Pelodiscus sinensis: one gene and its partner. The protein of the gene in region 1 purifies or fractionates together with the protein of each later gene. This does not show direct contact. Links are inferred from orthologs where the notes say so. Each region holds a gene or a part of one and is shown in the gene's direction. Other genes may lie near its edges. The genes, in order: ZCRB1 and LARP7.

Region 1 (11,914 bases):
GATGTGGTAATAGAAAACTGACTGTCGGCATTAAGATACAACAAACAATACAAAACTTTATTTCTTCATCTGAAAGATATGATGTTGGGTGACTGGGTTAGATATATGGCAGCTCATTTATTTTTCACCTGGCTATCAAGCACTGGGTATATTTTTCAGTTCCTGATGTTTATACTGGAAAAAAGGCAGCCCTCTCCTCTGTCTTGAGAGCTACAAGTAGTATAACAAAGAAGGAAAAATAAATCATGATACTTCACTTATTTCATGGAGACCAGGCTGGATAAAAGTCTTTTTTTTTTTAATAACTGGATTTAAAAAAAATAGGATTCTAAATTTTTCATTAAAAAAAAGTTAAAATTAAATCTTACCACCAACATGCTATTCCTACTCTTACAGTCTCACAAAAAATAAATCCATGGCTGTAATCTGTACATCCTAACAACCATCTTCTGCTCCTTGAACATTCTGGCCTTTCAATTTGTTAGTCAGCTAAGAAATATATACAAAGACAAAAACAGGCCTGGATAGGATTATTTTTGTTCTGTGCTTATGTGATGGTGAATCTGGGCCAAGCATGGCAGAGTTAAGATTAGGGATGTTAAAATGCATGCAAGTGATTAACCATGTAACCACAGAAAAGGAATGTGGAGATGATACTAAACTGCTCAAGATAGTTAAGAACAAAGCAGACTGTGAAGAACTTCAAAAGGATCTCACAAAACTCAGTGATTGGGCAACATGGCAAGAGAATTTTAATGCTAATAAATGCAAAATAATGCACATTTGAAAAAATAACCCCAACTATACATACTAAATGATGGGGACTAATTTAGCTATAGCCCCTGAAGAGAGATCTTGGAGTCACTGTGGTTAGTTCTCTGAAAACATACACTAAGTGTGCAGCGGTAGTCAACAGAATGATAGGAATCATTTAAAAAGGGATAGTGAATATCTTATTGCCTCTGTATAAATCCACGGTACGCCCACATCTTTAATACTGCGTACAGATGTGGTCGCCTCATCTCAAAAAAGATATATTGGCATCAGAAAAGTTTCAGAAAAGGGCAACAAAAATGACTGGGGGTTTGGAAAGGGTGCCATACGAAGAGAGATTAAAAAGACTGGAACTTTTCAGCTTAGAAAAGAGGAGACTAAGGGGGGTTATGAGAAAAGTCTATAAAATCATGACAGGTATGGAGAAAGGCCAGGGCAGATGTACAGTGGGGGCCGAGCCACAATCCGAGCTCTACCCGCACTCATGAGAGCCCCGCTCGGCCACTCACCCTGCTTTGCCCCTTTGGGCTGCGACATGTCTGGGCCAAGCCACACAGCACTGACTCGCCTGGGATGAAGCCCCAGCAATGGGAGAGCTCTGGTCCCTGCCCCTGAGCCCAGTGGGCTGCTGCGACAGGTGCACAACGCTCAGCACCCAGCCTGAGGTCACTCCAGCTAAGCAGCAAGCCCAGCTACATCAGCACGGCTGCAGGAGCCTCCTCCCAGGTGTCCACGGTGCCCAGCCAGGCTCCCCAAGTAACCATCCCGGACTGAGGCGCTGCTCCCACCTGCCCCAGCCAGTGGCATTGGCCTGACTCACCACGGGAGACCCACCCACTGAGTGCTGCCAGCCCAGCCAGTGAAGGGGGCCTGCATTTCCCCGAGTCCAGCCTAGGAGCACTGAGCTTTGCCTGCCTGGGCTTCGGTACTCGGCTCCTGTCCCAGCGTCGGGCAGCCCCAGCCCCTTCCCTGCCTGCCAGGCATGAGCGGGGCTCATGGAGGAGCAGGGCCAGATAACGGAGCCGCAGCAGAGCTATCCCCCAAAGCAGCTGCCTCATCCCGGATCCATTGCAGGGGGAAAGGGTGGGTGGAATGCAACATCCCTAACCCAGAGCATAAAATATTTCCAAACACCTACCAACCAGAGGGACATTTGCCACCCGGGCTTCTGAGAAGACAGACATTGATAAGTTTTCTACTAGGATGCTGTTCGTGCATCTTGCTGAGGGGGTCACTTTTAACACCAGCACGCTAGAAACAGTCAATGGCAAAAAGAGCCTGCACGCATAAAGGCTAGAAAGAGTCACCACTGCATAAAATACAAGAGTTGAGAACCTAATTTATAAAGACATTAGATGCCTAAAACTGCAGGAAGGCAAATAAGGCAAAAGTACCTAAGCAGGATAGGCACTTGACTCACTCCATATTTAGGCACCTGAACAACTTTTAAAATCTAACCCTCAATCACTACTGACAAACAACATTATACCAAACATAATACTGATCACTGACTTGAACAGTCCCAAAACATCCTACTTACCCTCTTCTGAGTACAGTGATAATATAACTATGCATAAAATGCCAGCTCAAGAATTTGAGTGCCTGCAGTTTAAGAAACACCTGTGGTGTCAAGTGCCATTTTTTTGTGTTAAGTACTCACTCTAGTATGTGGGTTCATAACATGGTCAACTCACGCCCCCCCACCCCTCCACCATAGTAGGGAATGATGAGGTATATTGAATTCTCCTCACTTCATAGTCTTGAAAGTTTATCTCACACCCCAAACATGCTCCCAAGTCAAAATAGACTTGTGGGCCTACGACTCCCCTCTTGTGGGCAACAGGGGTGGGATCACTTAACGATTCCCTGTTCCGTTCATTTCCTCTGGGTCCACCTAGCATTGGCCACTGTCTGAATACAGCATACTGGGCTAGGTCGGGGGGGAGGTTTGGTCTGGAGATGGGGGAGCCCCTTTGCCCCCCCTTCCCACTAGGCACCCATGCCCTGGAAGAAGTTTGGCACACTGGGGGAGCGGGGGTGGGGGAGCGTGGGAAGCCTCCTCCTGCCCTGCGAGGAGCACGTGGCGCTTTGAAGTGCTGCAGGCTCCTCGCAGTGCTGGGGCAGGGAGAAAGAAGCTTCATGCAGCTCCCCTGCCCCCAGCCCGATTGGCCTGGAGAGCCTGCAAAGCCTCCTCCGCTCTCTCCCCACGACCACCACCACCCTGCGAGCAGCGCTTCAAAGTGCCACGTGCTTCTTACAAGGAGGGAGAAGGCTTCATGTGCTTCCCCACCCCCAGGACAATTAAGGCCTGCGGGCGGGGAGCGTACGAAGCTTTCTCCGCACTGCCCCAGCATTTGAAGCGCCATGCACTACTCGCAGGGCTGGAGTAGAGCAGAGAAGGCTTCGGGTACTCCACTGCCCCTAACTGGCCTGGGGGCAGGGGAGCAGCAGGGCCTCGGCGGGCTGGATTCGGCCCATGGAAGCCCTTTTGCCCACCCCGGGCTAGATGGACCTTTGGTTTCAGTATGGCTGTTCTTATGTTCTCTATTCTCCTGTCACCCCACCTCCAAAAAATGATGCTCATGGGCATGCAGGAGCAACCTTTGTTAGAGTAAGATATAATACAGGCAGTCCCCGGGTTACGTACAAGATAGGGACTGTAGGTTTGTTCTTAAGTTGAATCTGTATGTAAGTCGGAACTGGCGTCCAGATTCAGACACTGCTGAAACTGACCGCCAGTTCTGACTTACATACAGAATCAACTTAAGAACCCCAGGCGTCCCCAAGTCAGCTGCTGCTGAAACTGATCAGCAGCTGATTCCAGGAAGCCCGGGGCAGAGCAACTCTGCCTGGGGCTTCCTGTAGTCAGCGCTGGTCAGTTTCAGCAGAAGCTGACTTGGGGACACCTGGGGCAGAGCAGCTGGGGTGCTGCTGGGTTGCTCCAGTAGCACCGCTCCTGGGTGCTACTGGACCAACCTAGCTGCACCCCATCTGCTCTGCCCCAGGAGTCCTGATTCAGCCGCTGCTGAAACTGACCAGCAGCGGCTGAATCAGGACCTGGGGCAGAGCAGCTGGGGTGCTGCCGGGTTGGTCCAGTAGTGCCCAGAGCGGGCGCTGCAGGACCAATCGGCAGCGCCCCAGCTGCTCTGCCCCAGAGTCCAAAACAAAAGCCTGGTCTGCTGGGGGGAGGGGGAGCACACTAGCTGCCCCCCCCCCTCCCCAGCAGACCAGGGACACGGGGAGCAGAGCCTCTGAGGCTTTGCTCTGGCAAAGCCTCAGAGGCGAGGGACCCCGCCGCGGCTTCAGTCCGGGAGCCTGTGGTCTGCTGGGGACCGCCCCCCTTTGCTCTGGCAAAGCCTCAGAGATGCGGGACCCCCCCGCGGCTGCGGCTTCAGTCCGGGAGCCTGTGGTCTGCTGGGGACGGTCCCCAGCAGACCACAGGCACCCAGATTGAAGCGGCAGCAGCGGCGGTTCCCCGCGCCTCTGAGGCTTTGCTCTGGCAAAGCCTCAGAAGCGCGGGAACCCGCCCGGTGTCCCTGGTCTGCTGGAGACGGTCTCCAGCAGACCAGGGGCACCGGAGCAGCTTACCAATGGGGCTTTCTCTCCCCGACTTCCGGGGCGAGAAAGCCCCGTTCGTAAGTGCGGATCCGACATAAGTCGGATCCGCGTAAGTCAGGGACTGCTTGTAATGAACTAGAATTAGAATTCTCTTGAACAGGGGTGAGCAAAGGCAGCTTGTGGGTCAGACACGATTTGATAGGGTATGCTGTCGGCAGACCACCTTGTTTTATTTCCCTGAGCATCTGCAGGCACAGCCACTTGCAGCTCCCATTGGCCTTGGTTCGCTGTTCACAGCCAGTGGACGTTGCATGAAGCACTGTGTGCCGGGCCACCACTTCCTGCAGCCAATGGGAGCTATGAGCGGCTGTGCCTGCAGACGCTCAGGCAAACGAAGTGCCTGACAGCCAGAAGTTAACCCTGGTGAACTGCGTCCGGCCCATGGGTGGCTTATTGCCCGCTCTTGAAGAGCTAGTTGTATCCCATGACTCAAGTGTAGCTCCCAAAGAGTTTCACAAGTAGACATTTCTCTAGTCTACACAGACATTAGAAACACACCTGTACTCAACAGTTCCAAATCTCACATTGTCACTCCAAGGTCTTGATAGCCAAAATTTAGAGCAGTTTCTCCTCAAACTGGCAAAAGTCCAGTTCCTGTTCACATTTCTCTCTCTATAAAGTTCCAGTTCTTTTGCATTTTACAATTACTCAAGTTATCTATACAATATCTTCTTAAGATAAATAAGTGAATACTTCTTTATGGGGTCCATGGCACAAAACAATCAGGCACAAAATTTGCGTCCACCTCAAAAAAATGTAGTTTAAGTGATTTGTATATAGAATGGCCGTGCTAGGTCAGAACTAGAAGCCAATGTTCTGGGCTCCACTCTGCTACCTTAACCAGATTCACTAGTTTGTCTTCATTGACTCTGCTATAGCAAGATCTATTCCTGATTCTGCAAGAAACTACCTTAGGGGTAATCTGACATTTTGACAGATTTTAGAAATAATAAAAATCCAGTTTAAAACAAGACATAGCTGGAGTATTACATAAAGGAGAAATGCCACCACTTTGATCCATAATTTTCTGATCTTTGGAAGCCACGTGACAATAAACTAGAAATCCTGTATATGACAGAAATCACTAGAAACCAGGGCATAATGTCAGGCATCCTGAACCCCTACTTCAAGCAACTAGGCCTACCACATGAGCCAGCAAACCGTTTGCAAAGGGGCTACCAAACGGGTGGGCAAACAACTGGCAGGGCAGCGCTGGGAATACGGTGCCTGCTCCTCTTTCCAGTTCTGGGGCCAAGCCGGGCCAGTGACTAGAGCAGCGCTTACAGAGAGGCTTGCCCGGCACAGCGCGTGGGTAGAGGCAGAACGGCTACGAGGGGGTCTAACGGAGGAGGAGTCTCGGACCCAGTCCCAGCTCTGTCCAAAGTGACCATCAACAGCCGCCGCCACGTTATCCGCGGTACGAGGAGAGGGGCGCGCTGCAGCCCCGGGCCGCACGGACACAAGCCACGGCGGGAGGCGCTCGGAACACGTGCGCTCCCTGCCCCACAGGCACAGCGCAGGCTCACGGAGGTCACGGGAAGCCGGGGCGGCGCGCGGTAGCAGCGGGGGCTCACGCGGCTGCCGTTCGCCCAGAGCACGAGATTGGGGCGCAGGGCCAGAGTAACCGGAAACTACCTGCGCCAAGGTCCCTCGCGCGCGCCGGCGCCTGGTGCCGCTCCCCTGCCAGCAACGGGGGGACCTGATCCGCGGCCCCGGGCCACTTCCGGCGCCTTTCGTGACGAAAACGGAAATACCCGCCTGCCTGCTGGCACTGCCGCCCGTGACTGGGGCCAGGAGGTGTCTATTTCTCACGTCGCCGGAAGGGCGCCGCGGCAGGTGGGGCCATGGGCTCGCTCTCGGCGCGCCCGGCGAAAGGAGGCAGCGCCTAGGAGAAATGTCCTCCCGCCCCGCCTGAACCGCTTCCCGCGAGGTGGGTGCGGGCTCCGCCCGAATCCCGCCCCGTGTCTATGGCGGCCGTGGTTCGCCTCGTCCCGCGGGGGGGGGTCGCGCCGGGGAGGGTCCGGCTGCCGGAGATGGGGGCGGGGCTGCTTCTGGCTCGTGTTCTCCTAAGGGCGTGAGCGGCTCTTCCCCTCGCCCCGTCCCCGAGGTCCCAACGCTCCTATTGCCAGTGACTGCCAAGCGAGCCAGCATCGCAGCGCTGCCCGGCGTCCTGCCCCTCACGCCGCAGCCCCGTTGCATCAGGAGAGCGATGTAGCTGGGAAGGGACATAGGCTAGTCCAGCATAACTGTACTATTTTAAAAATGCACAAACTTGAACGAGTGTCTCGGCATCACCTTAGACTTAGAGGCTAACGGAACATGCAGATGGTATCATGAGCTTTCGTGGGCACAGCCCACTTCTTCAGATGAACGAAGTGGGTTGTGCTCACAAAAACTCATGATACTATCTCTGTTTTTTGCTAGTTTCTAAAGTGGTGTGGTTACAGACAATGGAGTGTCCCTGCTACTGCTATTTCAAAATGACTATTTTGAAATAAGCATTATTCCTGGTGGAAAGCGGGCGTCATCATTTCAAAATAGCCAGTCCCTTATTTTGAAATAATGGGCTTAATAGTGTGGATGCTCTGCTTGTTATTTAGAAATAGCATAGACCAGGGCTTGGAGAGCAACAAATAAAGATAGATAGTATCATGCGCTTCAGTAGGCACAGCCCACTTCGTCAGATGAACAAAGGAAGTTGGTTTTGCTCATGATTCTCTTTCTCATTCATACATTATATAAACATATAATGGTATCCTCTAAGATGCCACAGGACTATTCGTTTTTTAAAGTTACAGACTAACATGGCTACCCTTCTGAAATTCTCTGCTAGTCTAACTTGTGTCTGTGATAGGGCTTTTACTGGAATAGCTACTTTACTTTGGTTAGAGGCGAGGATTTCCTTATTGAAATAGTCAGGTTGGTAAACTTTTAAGTATTAGGTAGTCTTGAGTCAGGACCACCACTTGAGTCAGCTCATAGAAAGGCAGAAATTACAACATTATTGGTTAAAGCAGGAACTGATTCAGTATGTGAGTTTCTGGGGCAGTTGTAAAGACTAGAGGGTGTTTGGCTTATAGCTCAGACACAGAAAGAAACCCCCAATTTCAAGATTGGTGTATTTGCAGTAGGGAAATGTTGAACTCATAATTCATTTCCTCTGTTGATGGAAGCTGATATTTAGCCCTTCCCAAAGTGTGATTAAATGTGGTAACTTGAGACCCATCTATGCTATAGCCTCCACTGAAAAGTTGATCCCATGGGCAACTATGATGTTTTATATGTACCATTCTGAAAAAGGCTCCTTAGTGGAAGAGGAAGATGACTGGCTGTAAAACCAGCATGATGGATGGATGCACGCAAATGAACAAGTGGTAGACTGGGCACAATGTGGAAAAAGGAAAGATTAGAGTATCTGCATCTGTGTTGATGACCCCTACCAGCAGATACGAGCACAGCTTCAAACCATAACACAATCTTTATTTCAGGTGTATTTTGCATTAGAAACAAGACTATGTGACTCTAAAAAAATGTTTTATGTATGTAATGTTGCATACTTGATTAAGTGAGTCCAACCTTATATCAGTTATTCTCAAGTTCAGGTAACACGCTGTATCAATTGATCCCAAACAACATCCTCTCCCTAGAAAATTTGAGGTTACTGTCTACTTGTGTTGTGGTTAGGGGCTGGGCCTCTGTAAAAGGCTCTCTTGAGAAGTTTGGGCTTGAGAGCAAAGCTTTTTGTTTTAAATACTGATAATGAAAAGTGCTCTAAAATTCACATGCAGACATGGCCAGCAATAGAATTGGGGATGCAAGTAGGGATCATTTGGTCAAGGGTTTCTTCAGATCCAGCTCTCCTAATAAGTAGCAATCTATTTCAAAATCTCTAAAACTTGTATGCAGAGTTTTATAACCGGAATTTGGTGATAGTTTGTAATGCAAATTTAAAGTAATTTAGCCAAGATATGACTCTTCTAACAAAATGAGGTGCTTTTAACCCTTTCACGTTCATATAATTTATTTGTTGCAGAGAGAAGTGAAAAAAACCATGACCCTGCTCCCTGTAAAAGTTGTCATGGGCTGCCCTGACCAAGGACCAGTTTAGAAATGTTTTAAAAAGTATAATATTAACAAAGCTTTAGAGACTCCCATTCACATCCTTTCTGCCCCTCAAATAGAGGGAGGAATTATACCCAGATCCCCAATGAGTGTTCTGTCTATAGGGCTAAGAACTTAGGGTGGACACCTCCACTGTCATTTTTGTGAGACAGGTATCTAACTCATTCACATTAAAAGCAAGATAGGCATCTAAGATGCCTGACTCCAGGAGATAGGTTCCTGGCTGCAAATTGCAAGCAGAAATAGTTATCTCCTTACACTTGGATTTCAGTACCTGACAGTGAGAGGGACAGGGTACAGGATGCCTGACTGAAGCTTTGTACATCCCAGTCTTGTGCCCAAGATTTTCTGGGCAGCTCCCTAGTTAGGCATTGCAACACCTAAAAGCTTTTTGTACCTGAATTCCTCATCTTTAAAATGGAGCATTTTCCTACCTCAGATAGGTGCTATGAGGATAAATACATTTAAAGATTACAACTTGCTTAGATACTGTGGTAAGGGGGTAGGGGCATATAAGTACCTTAGATCAGGGGTTTTCAAACTCTGGGTTGCAGCTTGTAAGGGTTGTATTAGAGGCAGCACTGTGGAGTCTTTTAAGCCGGCTCCCACATATACAGGCTCTCTGGGAGCGGGGAGGGAGCCTACATGTAACCATTCACAGTAACCAGTAAGCCCTGGCTTATCAGTTAACAATGTAAACAGTTACTCTAATACAACCCTGCATTAAATATGTTGTCTCGGTATACTGCAGACATGCCTGCTGACATCAGAGGATGTGCGTCCCTGGGAATACTTTGGTGCAAGATCTTAAGTGCACTGGGGAAAGGCGGCACCAGGAGGGTGTCTGCAGCTGATAGTAGAGCCGGGGGACTTAATCCTGGTGCTGATCACTAGATTATTTATGTTGATCAAAAGCAAGAGTGAATGATTGTCCCAAAGACTACCTCATCCCATTGGCTTGAGAGACAGACACAATAAGCAAACCTTTTCTGGGTTTACCAATGCTGGCTTTACACCATGTGACCTGAGCCATTGAGTCTTTTTCAGCGGCTTCTTTCATCTAGGATAGGTAAGCACAGCTGTTGACTTGCATCTTTGATGCCTATATTAGTCATCATTTTCAGGGTTCTGATTGGATCTGTCCACCTTATATAAGGCCCAAGGTGATATTTCAGTCTAGCCTTCATTGCTGATGGCATAGCTCCAACTAGGGATTTAAAAGGCTAACCAGTTACCCAGTATGCTTTAGCCTTACTGGCATGCTTATCTGGTAACTGGTTAACTGGTCCTGTCCAAACTGCAGCTGGGCCACAGCAGCCATCCCCCATGGAGGGTTGGACCAACCAGCACCCTGCCAGTGATGTGATGGGCCCTGCCAAACATCTTGTCCATTCCAGAGAAGGTATTTGTGCATGTTCTGTTGACCATTTGAAGCCCCTGCTGCATTGGATGTGTCACCTCCAACTGTCAGGCTTTATGAGAAACCCTTCCACATTTAACATCATTTTGTCCCTCTGCTCATTGTTAGAGATACATTGTGAGTTCAAGTAGCTCCTGCATGTGATGTATGTCAGTCTTAAGGTAACATTCAGTTGACTGAGTCGTGCTATGGAAATCTACATGTTACCATTGTCTGCAAACAGTGTCTTATCCTTTTGAATGTGTCATGAGACTGTCACAAAGAGGTTCCAGTGAACACCATTTCCCAAGTGACTTGTAACTGGGATCAAATTCTACCAACCAAGGATGGAGGTGGCCTAGAAGCAGATCCCCTATTACATGAATGTTAGGGATATAAAATCCCGTTTGTTTAGTTAAGCAGTTAAACACCGTGTTTAAGTAGTTAAGTGATAAATGGGGTTGGGCAGGGACTTTTGCTGTCTTTAGTGTGAAAACCATAACAATTACCTAAGAATAATTAGTATACTAAGAGAAGAAAAAAAAACATAGAGAGATTGTTGCATAACCAAGATTGGATGACAGCTATTTGACAATCTTGTCAGGCTGCAGACCATTGTTCTGTTCATTAAAATAAGACCTACCGGGGAGAGTCACAAGTTTTAGTAGAATTTAGCTTCTGAGTTTCTCTTAGTCAAACTAATTGCCCCGTATGTATGAAACAAGCTTTGCATTCTCTTCCTCCTACTCCCCATATGGCAGAGATCCATAATGCAGTGTCAGGAGAGCTTTTAACATTTCCTTTGAATACAGTACTTAGTCTGGATAGCCAGACTTATGTCCATCTATTTGGAAGGCATAGTGCCAGGTTGGTTAGTTAGTCTTATCTTAGGACATTAATGCCAGGCAGCAAGGAGTCTAGAATTATATGGGCAGCCTATATAGCACAAGTAACATCTGTCCTTCATTTTGAACCTCTTCTGTGTTTTCATTTGCTGAATCTTTGTCACCTCATATACTTGTGCCAAAAGAAATACAGTTCCTAAACAGGGAATTTAAGAAAAACCCAAAGCTCAGTCAGCTGCTACCCACACAGATTACGTTGCAGTAAGCACATAGGAAATGAAGGAGGAAACACTTGAGAAGTGTTATTGGAATGCACTCTTTACAAATTTTTGAAGCAGAGTGCTAGAAAATATCCAGAGTTAAATTATGGTGTGGCAATAGTCAATTTTTACTTAAGGATGAAGCTAGCCTCTCTTTATTAATTTATATATATATATTTAAACTTTTTCCCCCGAAAAAAACTTCTGCAAAAAAAAACTGTCAGGAAAAATGTCATATCTCATCCCAAGGTAAAAATCTGCAGGGAAGTTTTGAGGGAAAAATCAGGAAAAGTTAATTTTTCAAAACATTTTGTCCTTGATTTTTAATTTTTTCCTTCTTTTTTACTTGAATTTCATGAATGGCTTGGCCTACAACAGGGCTACTCAACACGCGGGCCACGTGCAGCCTGTTTGTTTGCAGTCCTTGGGGTGGTTTGGGTTTATGCCCACAGGTGGGATCCTTTGAACATGGCCTCCACTGGGAACATGCTGCACAACAGCAAAGGGTCTCGAAGGCATTGAAAGATGCAAGTGGACAGGCTGCCTGGAACAGATGGGTACAGGGGTGCTGGAGCGCCGGGACATTGTGAGAAGAGCTTTGTATTCGTGCCCATCAGTATGAAATAAGCTATTTGCATGTATATGCAACCACACTTGACATGTGCTGAGAGTATCATTGTGGCCCCCAAAGCTTCCAAAGTTGAGTAGCCTTGGCCTACAAACTCAAATTGTCCTGCTGAAGTCCTTGGTATGTAATAAATGCCACAGTAAGGTAGACAAGGAAGAAATTAACTAGGGTTTCATTAGAGCAGACATAAGGCACAGGAAAATTGTGAGAGGAGGACCAAGGGGACCAGGAAAGTACACTTCTCCACAAACCAAGGAAGCAAGGAGGA
Region 2 (11,956 bases), on another chromosome or scaffold:
AATTCACAAGGATTCAGTTGGTCTTTGCCAGAACTCTCATTAATGGCTAACAGCTGAGTCTCCCAATCACTTCCACGGGATGCAGATGCTTGAGAAGCTGTTTTACAATCCCAGCTGTATTGCCTGTCATGATCTGTTTGTTTCTCGCAATTGTATTTTAGCCCTTTTTCAACAGGCTGCACAAAGGCTGCCATGAAATGTGAAGCCTTTGGGTTTTGAGGGTCTTGTAAATCCAAACCTAAATTACTTGCTTTTTTGTCATGTCTCCTTTCTGTGACTTCTTCATCACAAGACTGTTTGGCTGAATTTGGCAACATATAAACATCCCAACTATTAGTTATTGTTTTCTCTGTAGTTGATTGGTGCTGTATATTCTTGGTACTTTCTCTATCAGAGATATCCATATGTGCAGACACATTTCCACTCTTTTGTTTCAATAAAATTCCTCTGCTTTCTGACAACTGACATCCAGAACAACACTCAGTGATTTCGGAAGAGTTTTGATCGTTGCACAGTTGTGTTGGCTTGGATTTCAGAAGTGCTATTATCTGTGCTTTGCTCCTGATGTTCTGAGACAGAGACATACCACTGACTGTCTGACAATTTGATTCCATCTGTCCAGAAATAGAGATGCTGTGGTTTCTATTGTGTATCACTTCTTTGGGAATGCCAATATAAGAAGTGGAAACCAGTGAGGAGACAGACATATGGTCTCTATTGCTGCCTGTGCAAGCATCATTATTAGAGAGTGATGATGAATTAGTTTCAGCATCCTTCTCGCAAGTAGTAGAAAATAAAGGAGAGGTGTTATACAACTGAGAAGGAAAGGACAACAGAGACCGCTTAGATGAATGGGATACTACTGCTTCATCATCTTCCATCAGCACCATTTTCTTTTCAATTTGACGTGGCCCTTGAAAGCCCTAGGAGAAAAGTTTTTATGTTAATATTATTCATAAATCAGCTTTGAAATTTGGAACCTAAGCAGTAAAAAGCAACAGGGCACTTATTATGCTCCATACTCTCATTAAACAATTTGACACATTTATTGAACAATCCCAAATTATGCTTCTTTTGAATTGTACCCTGAATAGCAGCAGTAGTTGTTAAAATAACTCTTGCTTACATATGCCAAGCAAGTTAGTCTTATTCATGCAAGGCAGAGCAGATTTTAATTACACATTTTCTTTCCAATACACTTCACCTATTTTATTTTACTAACAAAATATGTACTAATGCATCCACAGGAAGTTCAGAGCTCCTCATTAATACTTCAAATTAGCATCCTGTAACTAAACAATTTAATATGCTATCAAGTAAACCTGGCTACAATCATGACATTCAGTGTGAATTTAACAAGTCACATATGCAAACAATATACTTACATTAATGTAGTTTGCTGCTAAGAATTAAACCCAAACATTTTGTCTATATATACTTCATTTGATTTCACTCTAATTGAACTCCTCACTTACATGCCCACAATACAGCCTTAGTCATTGGATAACTAGAAAGCACTAGGAAATACACTAAGTTAGATACAATTGCAGGGCATATACCATCAGGAGGGAAATTAGGATTTAAAATAGGTTTTCCCTGACACTAGTGCAAATTATAACGTTCCAATAGTGTTTTAAATTGGATATGAAAGTCAAACATACATATGAAACACAAACATACAGTATGTTTCCTTTTCAAGCCAAGAGGTAGATGGGGCAGAGAGAAACCACTGGGCTTCAAACTATTTCTGTTCAGCGTAGGCGCTTCTGTTTTCTTTGGCTGATCACTACCACAGTTTTCAGTTATTTTTTCTGCTTCAATTGTGATCAAATATCGGTCACTTTCTAAGTCATCTCCAGGTTTCACCTAGAAAAGACAGAGAAACAAAAGTGTTGTTTAATGGCATTATGTATGCTAGCCAGTGGAAAAAATGATAGTTTCTCCTAAGTGTTGTCAAATAGATACTGAAATAATTTGTTTTACAACACAGAAATGAAACAATAATATACAAAATTCACTGTATCCTAGACAACTGGAGCAGACTAGATATGAAAGCAAGCATTAGCTCTAAGTTTCAAATTGTTTTGTGTTGGTTCTAATGTAAACACTCAAATTTGCACAGATTACTAAATACTGTAGCTTTAAAAATGAAGTTTTTAAGCAACTCCTAAGACCATAATTATTTACATAGGTCTATTAGTTTTTGGCTGTACAAAAACTCCATAATATCAAACAAACAGCACTCCATCTCAATAAGCTTGCAATGTAAAAAGGTACTATACAAATCAAAATCAAACATGTAATGGTCAGAGTACATTGCAATTGTAATGCTTCCTAGAATAGGTAAGTCTATGAAGGGTTTTTTTTTTTTAAGAAATTATATGAAAGAATTAAATACATTTGAGAACATTCTAAGCATATGGTTTGCATAACAGCATGAAGTGAAAATTATATATATTCATAATTCATTATCCACCATAAGCCTATTTGTCAGTTATCCACTGTACTAAAATTTGCTATGTGCTGTTTTACATATAGTGACATACAAACAAACAATCTGTCACAGATTATTTTCCAACCTAAACATTTAAGGATCAGAATATTAGCAATGACAAAGCTAGACAAAACTGAAGCATAGGGAACTTTGGATCACATGAAGATAAAATATGCTGCGTCAAATTATTAGCCAAATAAGGATAAAAGCTTTACATGATTATAAAATACCTGAGATTTAACAAATACACTCTCCAAACATTGTCCTCTGTCATCAAATAAGGTTGCCTGTATTGAAATAGGAGAATTTTAAATTTAACAAATGTGTGTTAAGAAGGAACCAGTGACACAAGTAGAAGCTGAAAAAGTGGTACTATTATGCACATGATACTGAATTAAACCTGAATTCTTCACCTTATTTCCTCCAGTAGTGGTTTTCAAAACTCCATCTTGCCATACTTTCGATTTTTTAGTCTTCTGATGAGTGTATAAGACCTTATATTATAAAAAACATGTATATACTGAAATGATTTAGTAGTCATACAAGCCAAGCATATGTGAAATTTGACTATATCTTATATATAATTGTACTTAAAAATAAGACTCACAGTAAACTCCTGACAAGCCATTGCTTTGATGAAACACAGCAATCCAAAGGTTTGCAATGCATATATTCAGATCTTCATACTACTCAAAAAAAAGGGGGGGGGGCATATTTAGAATTCAACTCAGCTGCAAGGCAAGTGTGTCAAACAAAAAAGATACACATCCAGTGCTTTCCCTTAAAGAGTGGGTAAAAACAGGGTAGTGATGCTTGTGAGGGAATATTGGAGTGCTAAAGACTTGTATTCTAAACATAAACTAACAAAAGTAAAGATTAATAGCAGAAATAGCTTTTGTTTAAATATTAATATCAAGAAGAGATCTACTTTTTTAGAAACCTGAACATCTGCAACTACTATTCATTTTAATGGAAGTTGTGGCTCAAAATCATTTTTCAGATAAGTAGGTATTTTTATTTTAGCTGGCTCTTTGAAAACTATTAGCCTAATAATCTTATCAGAACATATAATCTACTACTAAAAAATTAACCAAACTTTCATGTCTCTAATGAGGCTTCATTTTGGGGTATCTAATTTTGAAACCCTCAAATCAATAATCACCCATAAAAAACTTGGCCTAAAGTAGTCAACAGTAATCAAAGCTTTATATAAACACTTCATCATTTTCAAACCTTATGACACACAAATACAGTAGAAAATTAACTGTCAAATATCATAACTTGTACTTGCATGTAAAGAGTTGCACTTAACATTGGGATCTTAATCATAATTATCAATTACTGACACTTCAATTAAAACCACAACCACAGGAACACAGCTAACACTGGCAATTGCTCTAACTTCTTGAAATTACTGGCTGACTGCATAGACAGCAACACAAGTGATAAAGAAATTGTTAAAAGCAATCACACATAAGAAAAGGCATATGAGAAGACAAAGCAGCTATTATAGGAAGATATTAGACTAGAGATTAATTAAGCAATAGTTCATGGGATTTAAGAATTCTTAGTACATTTTTAACATTTAGAATAAGTAGAGATAGGATGAAAAAAACTCATAGGATACCTTTTTGGGGATGAACTAGGAAATTATATTTGAGAAATAATACACTGATTGCGTTACTAGCAGATAAACAGATTCAATTAGCATTCTACATATGTGGTTTTTTATTCCATTGTAAATACATTTATTAAAAGAGGAAATATATTCACACTTTTTCTCATGACAGTGGCTCTCAAGCTATAATAGCTTTTTCATTAAAAATTCCAGTTTTAAAGTGTCTTGTCTTTCAACTTCTTAAATGCTACACACTCGCCACAAGGTGGCTCAGAACATTTACTTTACGTTTATTCTTCTCAGTCATGGTACTGTTTAGAAAGATGTATGGAAAGATCATGTTTCCAACTGTGCAATTCACAGATTGACCATTCTTGTAACAATACCAGAAGAGCTGTCTTCACTTCCCCTTACTTGATCTGATAATGGCTTGATTTAGCATTGTTTACAGAAAGATGGTTACTTTAGAGCAGAATAGGAATTTTCAGATAGTCTTTCTCTTTCCTAGTAATAAAATGGAACAATAAGAATGGAAATGATAGAATCTGTCAAGCAGTCCATGGGTGGGTGGCATGGATCAGCCTTTGTGTTGCACTCCCCCTCAGTACCTGATGCAATCTGGGAAAGTTAATGATTAGAGGCCTGCACAGATACAAAATAGTATCTGCATCCAATCTTCTATTCACAAACAGGGGCTGTGGATATAAGGAGACTGGCAGAGCTTTACTAATGATCCAACCACATGACCAAACTTAATGAATGAAGATGAATCCTGGTCCTCTGTCACCTGAGGCACATTGTGCATATGCTAAGAAGAGTAAACAGCTAGACCATTTTGAAGTAGACTGAATAATAGAGCCACCACTACAGATACATTGGTTTATTAATTCCTGAAAGAATATAATGGCAGCTGCTGAAAGCCTTAATGACCTAAAATAAATCAGTAAGGCAATGTCTACACTCGCAGCTTCTTGCGCAAGTATGGCCATTCTTGCGCAAGAATCCGCAGAGCAGCCATACTGCCTGCCCGCTCTTGCACAAGGAAATTTACAGTACGGTGTGGTAAGAGAGGGCTTCTTGCACAAGAGCTATGCTCTTTTTTAACAGGTGTAAGCCTTCTTGCGCAGGAGCTCTTATACAAGAGGGTATTGTGGACGCTCAGCAGGGATTTCTTATACAAGAAAGCCCTATGGCTAAAATGGCCATCAGAGCTTTCTTGCACAAGAGAGCACCCACACTGCTATGGGCACTGTTGCGCAAAAGCACAGCTTGCACATGGCAGTGTGGACATTTTCTTGCGCAAGACTTCTTGCACAAGAACCCTTGCGCAAGATGTTCTTGCACAAGAAGCCGCCAGTGTAGACATAGCCCCAGTGTGGTAATACTTAAAAATAAGACCCTACTGTATAACGTCTTTCACAGAAACTACCTCAAAATGTAACAGAAGCAAAGAAAGAGACATTGAAAGGAACACAATCACGTTTTTTCATTCAGATCTAGTATCAGAGTTTTTATGGTCCTTTCTTCATTCAGCACACTGTCAACCTGTGGAACTCCTTGCCAGAGGATGGGAAGACTAGGACTTTAACATGGTTCAAAAAAGAGCTAGGAGGTTAGGTCCATCAATGACTATTAGCCAGGATTGGTAGGAATGGTGTCCTTAGCCTCTGTTTGTCTGGAAATGGGGGACAGGAGAGGGATCATGTGAGGATTATCTTTTGTGTTCCCTCCCTCTGGTATTAGCCACTGATGGCAGACAGGATACTGCGCTAGGTGGACCTTTTGGTCTGACCCAGTATGGTGATTCTTATATTCTTATGAAAGGACTGGTACCAATATAAACTGTACTCATATATTCTGTGTAGAGTGTAAAACATTATAATTTTGCTCTCATATCACTCCCCTCATGGCAAAGGTGATTAACAGTTACTCTCTCAAACCATTTAGTAGAGAATTGTCAGAAACACTCCATGTCCAAATACTGGTCTTAGGGAAGTCTATGGGAATTTGACCACTGACTTCAATAATAGCAGAATTCACCCAATGCTGAGTGAGTGCTTTTAAAAATCCCAATGTTAAAAACCAATGGTTTTTACACATGAAAGTTGATTACTAGTGTAGCTGAAGTTGTTAACATTTCAAAGTCAGCTGGAGTGAAGCCAGCGCCAGGACTTATTTTTCTGCCTAAAAGCAAGGTTCTATAATTTTTAAATTTTCTTTTATCTACACGAGGTTTTTTTTAAGTGGAGCAGACCTGGCTACAACACATCCTACATCGGGAGCATGGTGACAGAAAGCACCAAAACCTGCAACGGAAAAGAGTTGGGCTTCTGCTCGCCCCCCCCCCCCCCCCCCCGCGCGCTGGAGCCTCATCGTTTTGGGCACTGTACAGACATGGGGCAGAGGCAGTTCCTGCTAGGGCAGTGGTTCCCAAACTTTTTGGCATCACGCCCCCCTTTTTGATTTCTGAGAAACTCCTGCCCCCCCCCCCCCCGCCCAAAAAATAGCAGCAAAACTTGGAGTGGGATTGTCGGGGGGGAGGGGCTGGGTCGCCTCGCCCCCCCGTTTGGGAGCCCATGCTAGGGAGAGCCTGGTTGCGCAATACTTTGTAACCTCTGCATTTCAAACACCAGCGAGGCCGGAGGAGGCTGGTACCGGGAGGGGAGAGTAAAAATGCTGCGGGGGGGGGGGGGGGGGGACACGGGACGGCCTGTGGCTCTGCTGTGCGATGCCCGACGTTGCGCGTCGCTGACAGCCCGCTCCTGTGGGTGCAGGCAGGGAGCCCGCAGGGCCGCTGCTCTCCTAGTCCTGCCGGGGGGGCTAAACCTCCTTCCGCCCCCCCCCCCCCGGCTCTTTCCCAAGCCGCCTGGCGCGGATGGCCGAGCCTCTCGCTCTGCAGACGCCGATGGGGGGGGGGGCAGAGCGCGGGGAGCGGACCAGCGTCACCTCCTCTCCCCTCCCCCCCCCGCGCGGCACCTCTCGAGCTCTCGGCTCCTCGCCCTGGTTTGAAGCTTTCCCGCGCCGCCAGCTACCGATGACGCTATTTTCCGGCGCCACGGCAGAGAATAGCCCCTCGCGCCGCCGGCCCGCGCTCGGAAGTGCGTCGCGCGCGGGGGGGGCGCCGATCTGGTAAGCCGGCGGCAGGGCAGGCGGGGGCTTTTCTTGCTGCGGCTGAGCGTCGCGCGCTGGCGGTGACGCTGCTGCAGCTCAGGAGAGGCGGGGGGCCCTGTAGGAGTTGGCGGCGGCGGCGGCGGCAGGTGAGAGCCCGGCTCTACGCACCGGGCGCGGGAAGGGGGGAAGCGCGGTGAACTAGGAACACTGTTAACCCTCTCCGCCCCGCCGGCAGGGGGCGCTGCGCGGGGGCTTCGCGCATGCGTCAGGCTCGTGGGCGGGGCGGGGCATTGGCGGCGCGTGGGGGCCGCGGGGGGCTCTGCGGACAGACTGAAGAGCGCTTTTGCCTAGAGCCGCGCAGTCCGGCACCCGCCGTGAACAGCGCCGCCTGCAGGGGGGGAGGGGCGTCCCCAAAGTTCTTTTGTCCCTGGGACAGGTTCAGAAAAGGGGCCGCGAGAGCGCTGAGGCCACGGGAAGAGAGAGATGAAGAAGACTGGGTGCTTGATAGGACAGAGCTCTATAAAATCATGGCGGGTGGAGAAAGTGAATTCGGGATAAAGGCATGTAATTGTTCCCATAGCCTATGAACTAGCCACCCCCAAACGAAACTAATAGCAGTTTTAAAACAAACAGAAGGAAGTAGTTCTTCATGCAGCACACAGCCAATCTGTGGAACTCCTTGCCAGAGGATGCTGTTAAGGCCAGGATTTTAACAGGGTTCAAAAAAAGAACTAGAGACATTCATGGGGGATTGGGCCATCAATGGCTATTAGCCAGGATGAGTAGGAATGATGTGCCTAGCCTCTGTCAGAAGCTGGGAGTGGGCAATAGGGGTGGGATCACTTCATTATTACCAGTTCTGTTCATTCCCTCTGTGGGCACCTGGCATGGCTAGATGGACCTTTGGCCTGAGCCAGTATGGCCGCTCTTATGTTCTTACATTCGTCACTTTTGTCCGTCAGGGCTTGAGGGAGTGACTCCAAAGTACTGTTGCTATCCCCCTCCGTCTGAGCCCTTTCCCAACAATTTGGAATGAGGCCACTGGCAGGAGGGGCAGTTTTGGGATCAGCGCACAGGTGTAGCGAAGAAGCTGCCTTCTGTCCTGCTAGGGTTGGTACTGGCTTCTCCAGCCATGTCTGCACCGCAGTAGAAACTCTGACTTTGGGACTCAGGCTTGTGCACTTGGTGAAGCATCCACGCTGTATTGTAAAGCTGGGCTTTTAGTTACTGGAGCTGGGTTAACTAGTCCAGCGTGCACTACGTAGATGTTCTGAATTGGGTCTGGCTACGGCTGCTGCCATGCTACGAAATGATAGGGTTTAGACACAGAGAGAATCAGACTCTTTCCCTCCTCCCTCCCTTGGATGGTCCCCAAGAGCTGGGTCCCAAGTGCTTGTTGTTTAATGTTAGGTAGACATGTGAGTGGATGAGAGGAGAGGTGGGCTTGAACCTGAGTCTGAGCCCAAATTTCCAATGCAATATAGCACATACTTTAAATGACTGCAATCCAAATTCTACTCCAGAGTCCCCAATTAAGTTAACCCTACTGTAATGCAAAACCAAAAATGTTATCGACTACATGATTAGTCAAGAAGGGAAGGTACTCATTCCTGGTTCATGCCGGGTCTGGGAGTTATGCCCCCCTGAAGCTCTACAGTTTCAATATAGCAAGACATTTAAACTGCACAGTCGCACGGGGAAAACAGGGAGCTCCTGGACCTGACAAAAGCCAGGACTGAGCCAAGCTTGCTCAGTCCCGGCTGCTGCCAGAGCAGCCTTTGTTAATGGCCAGCCCAGGCTGCTGTGAACAGGGGCTGATCCACAGGATGCGGAGCAGCCTTTGCCCGTGGCAAGCCTGGCCTGCCGTGGGCAGAGGCTGCTTCAAGCATCCCCCTCCTCCCACATTGCTGCTTCTGTTAGAGGCAGCAGTGCAGGAAGTGGGGGCAGGCGAGGAGATCTGGCTCCCCCCAGTTTCGGCTCCAGCTCTCCCAAAGGGGGGGAGGGGATTTGGGTAGTCAACTCGACTATCCGATAAGCTGAGGTTTACCAGGTAATCAGCTACTCGACTGCTTGCTTACATCCCTAATTCATAAGTTTTCATTATTGTTCATTTCTGTGCTTTGCTTCTTTGTACATAACACACTGCTCCATTTCAGTCTTGTATTTAAATTACTGGGGCAGCTGATGTTCATGCTAGTTGGAATTGAGCTAGAATTAGAAAATGCTCCACGCAGTAGATGCATTGATGCTGGTTTTAATGTAGTTATGTAAAAAACAAGTAGTTCTGATGACGCTAGAACAGGATATCGCTATAGCTACTTTGAGCAAGAAAATGGAAAAAATGTGTGTATTTTGGTGAGTGCCCCATTTATAAGACAATATTAGGAGTGCAAACTTTTATGATCTTTTGGGCATTTTCTATGACATTATTGTGGTTGAAACCTAAGTGACGTTTTTGTACAATTCTTTGTTTTTAAAGTACAAATCCAAGTCTGATTCACCTAATGAAAATATTTTTATGAACGTCAATTGTTTATTTGGTGTCAACATCGAGTCACTGTAAACCTAAGTAGTGAATGACTCAAAGGGAATGAGTTTCTTCTTCCAAAATAAATTTTTTAGTTTGTGAATTTTACATGTGGAGTGCCAGAAATGATAAATGTTTATGCAATAGTATGTAAATGAAAAAATGTCTGGGTCCATTCAAAAGCACCTGATGGTCTGGATTTGGCCCATGGTCTGCCTATTAACTGCCCTTGCTTGCTTTGTGGGATCACTTTTCTTCTTACCAGAGCTGTGGCTCTTCCCTGCTTCCCCGTGTGTTCATCCGCCAATACAGCTTAATATGTGCTGCTGAGCTGGCATCAACCAGTGCAGCTGAGCAGGCATGTTGAGGAAAAGTATCTTGGCCAGGTATTAGAGCTCATCTTCATTTCTCATCCTCTTTCTTTCCTTGGTTATCTTATTTGGACTCTGAGTCCTGAGGCACTGTATCTTGAAGCTAGCCTTGCTCTGGTCTTCTGACAAAGCCACCACAATGTGGGATCTAATTAGTGCTCAGCACAATATAGCATTTGTAAAGTAAAATGTCGATTTCTGTAGTGTCCTTGATACAAGTTGAACTTCTTTAGTCCAGCATCCTCAGGATCTGATGGATGCTAAACTACAGGAAACCAATATTGTAGCGATTTGGTCTTTTTTATTTATTTGTCTGTCTGTTTGTTTATTTGTTTTTTATTTTATTGATTGCCAAGGGAAATAAACAGAACAATGCTTAGTATGTTCTTACCAATGTGTAACTGTACAGATACACCCAAAATAAGTTTGAGTCTAGCCAAGGCTTATCAGCTCTCTTCAGAAAAAAGTGTTAGTGTTGTTACACAGTTTTACTGTATTGGCAGAAGGAAATGAGTAAATAAAGCATAAAAACATGTTTTTGCTTAACGACATTACCAGCATTTCCGCTGCTTGCTGGGATCCAAGAAGTCATTTAAGGGGTAAACTAGAGTTAAATAACAGCACAGAACATTGAGAGCCAGGACTGTCATCTGTCAACTTTACAGGACAGTGGGAAACTTAGACACACCTACAATAAGATGACATTTGGGTCACTAAAATCATGCCGGATCATGGATGTTGCTGGACAAGAGAGGTCCAACCTGTACTGAAAGCTTCCTAAATTCTTTACAGATTAGTTGGATACTGAGAGTTAAGTGATGGTGTAGACAAGACAAGCACAGCTTCCATGTGGTGAGCAGAAGTTCTCAGAGACTTGGATATTAGGTGTTGTATTCCAGACAAGATCCCCTCTCCAAAAAAAATCTGTAATTCCTGAATATTTTATTTGGAAAATTGGCTTGCTTTCTTTAACTTTTAACTGGACAGTCATCAGAGACATCCTCTCTCTGAAAAAAAGTGCCACTAAATAGTAGTACAATTTTTCCTGTAGCGTCCGACCAAATATTATATTGCATTGCTGACGTTTGTCTTGCTGTGTGATTTGAACTCATGTTGAACTTTTAGCTCAATGACAGGAGCATGACCTTACTTATTCTTTCAAGCTAATTGACAGCTTGTTGACCTTAAGCATCTTGAATGGTCAGCTCACAGCAGGGAGATAAACTGGAATCTTGCTTAAAGAAGCCTGATTTACACAATAATCTGAAAACCATTTCCATTTTTATGCGATCTTTGGCTTCCTCTCTGTTTCTCCCTGCAAACACCACTTCCTGGAACATTGTATTGTAATACTAACCATTGACCAAGAAATGGAAAGACCTTTATGTTGCTATCATGTGTAAAATACATCAGCCATTGTGGCAACTTCATTTTTAGACAGCTTTCACTCATGCCAAGTTGCAGTTGTTTTTATTTCATACATATATAATACTCTGAAAGATTGATCATTCTTAAGGAGGTAGAGATTGAAGAGTGACTTGGGTCAAAATGAATTCTATACCTGTGTAACTTGTCATCTTTCCTCAAGTTACATCCTGTTTTCTAAGAGTTTGATTTTATTAGTTGCCAAGAGCCATCAATGGGATTTGAGGATGCCCAGTGCCTCACAAGATCAGGTCCTAAATAACTGCGAAAAAAGGAAAACATTATTTTTTTTTATACAGCACATCCAGGTTATAATGTATACTTACAAAAACAGTATTCATTAGTGAGCCCAAATTTTGGTGGTCTTTTTAATCTTTGACACAACATTAAGAATGTATTGAAAGTTCATA

Evidence for each region.
Region 2: the proteins of ZCRB1 (region 1) and LARP7 purify together in Homo sapiens (affinity purification with mass spectrometry; 3 studies listed by BioGRID and IntAct, counting the BioPlex papers as one, with this or other methods). This does not show direct contact. The link is inferred for Pelodiscus sinensis from reciprocal best matches to the Homo sapiens genes ZCRB1 and LARP7.

What each region holds. Positions count from the first base shown.
Region 1 is NC_134711.1:53,436,225-53,448,138, reverse strand, and holds the start of ZCRB1 (zinc finger CCHC-type and RNA-binding motif-containing protein 1), read left to right. Parts: upstream 1-6,172; 5' UTR 6,173-6,322; intron 6,323-11,914.
Region 2 is NC_134715.1:31,428,195-31,440,150, forward strand, and holds the start of LARP7 (la-related protein 7), read left to right. Parts: upstream 1-7,105; 5' UTR 7,106-7,241; exon of another isoform or gene 7,242-7,369; intron 7,370-11,956. Other genes in the region: 5'-3' DNA helicase ZGRF1, read right to left, coding at 1-923, 1,681-1,866, 2,725-2,781, 2,908-2,988, 3,102-3,122. UniProt on the Homo sapiens protein: RNA-binding protein that specifically binds distinct small nuclear RNA (snRNAs) and regulates their processing and function.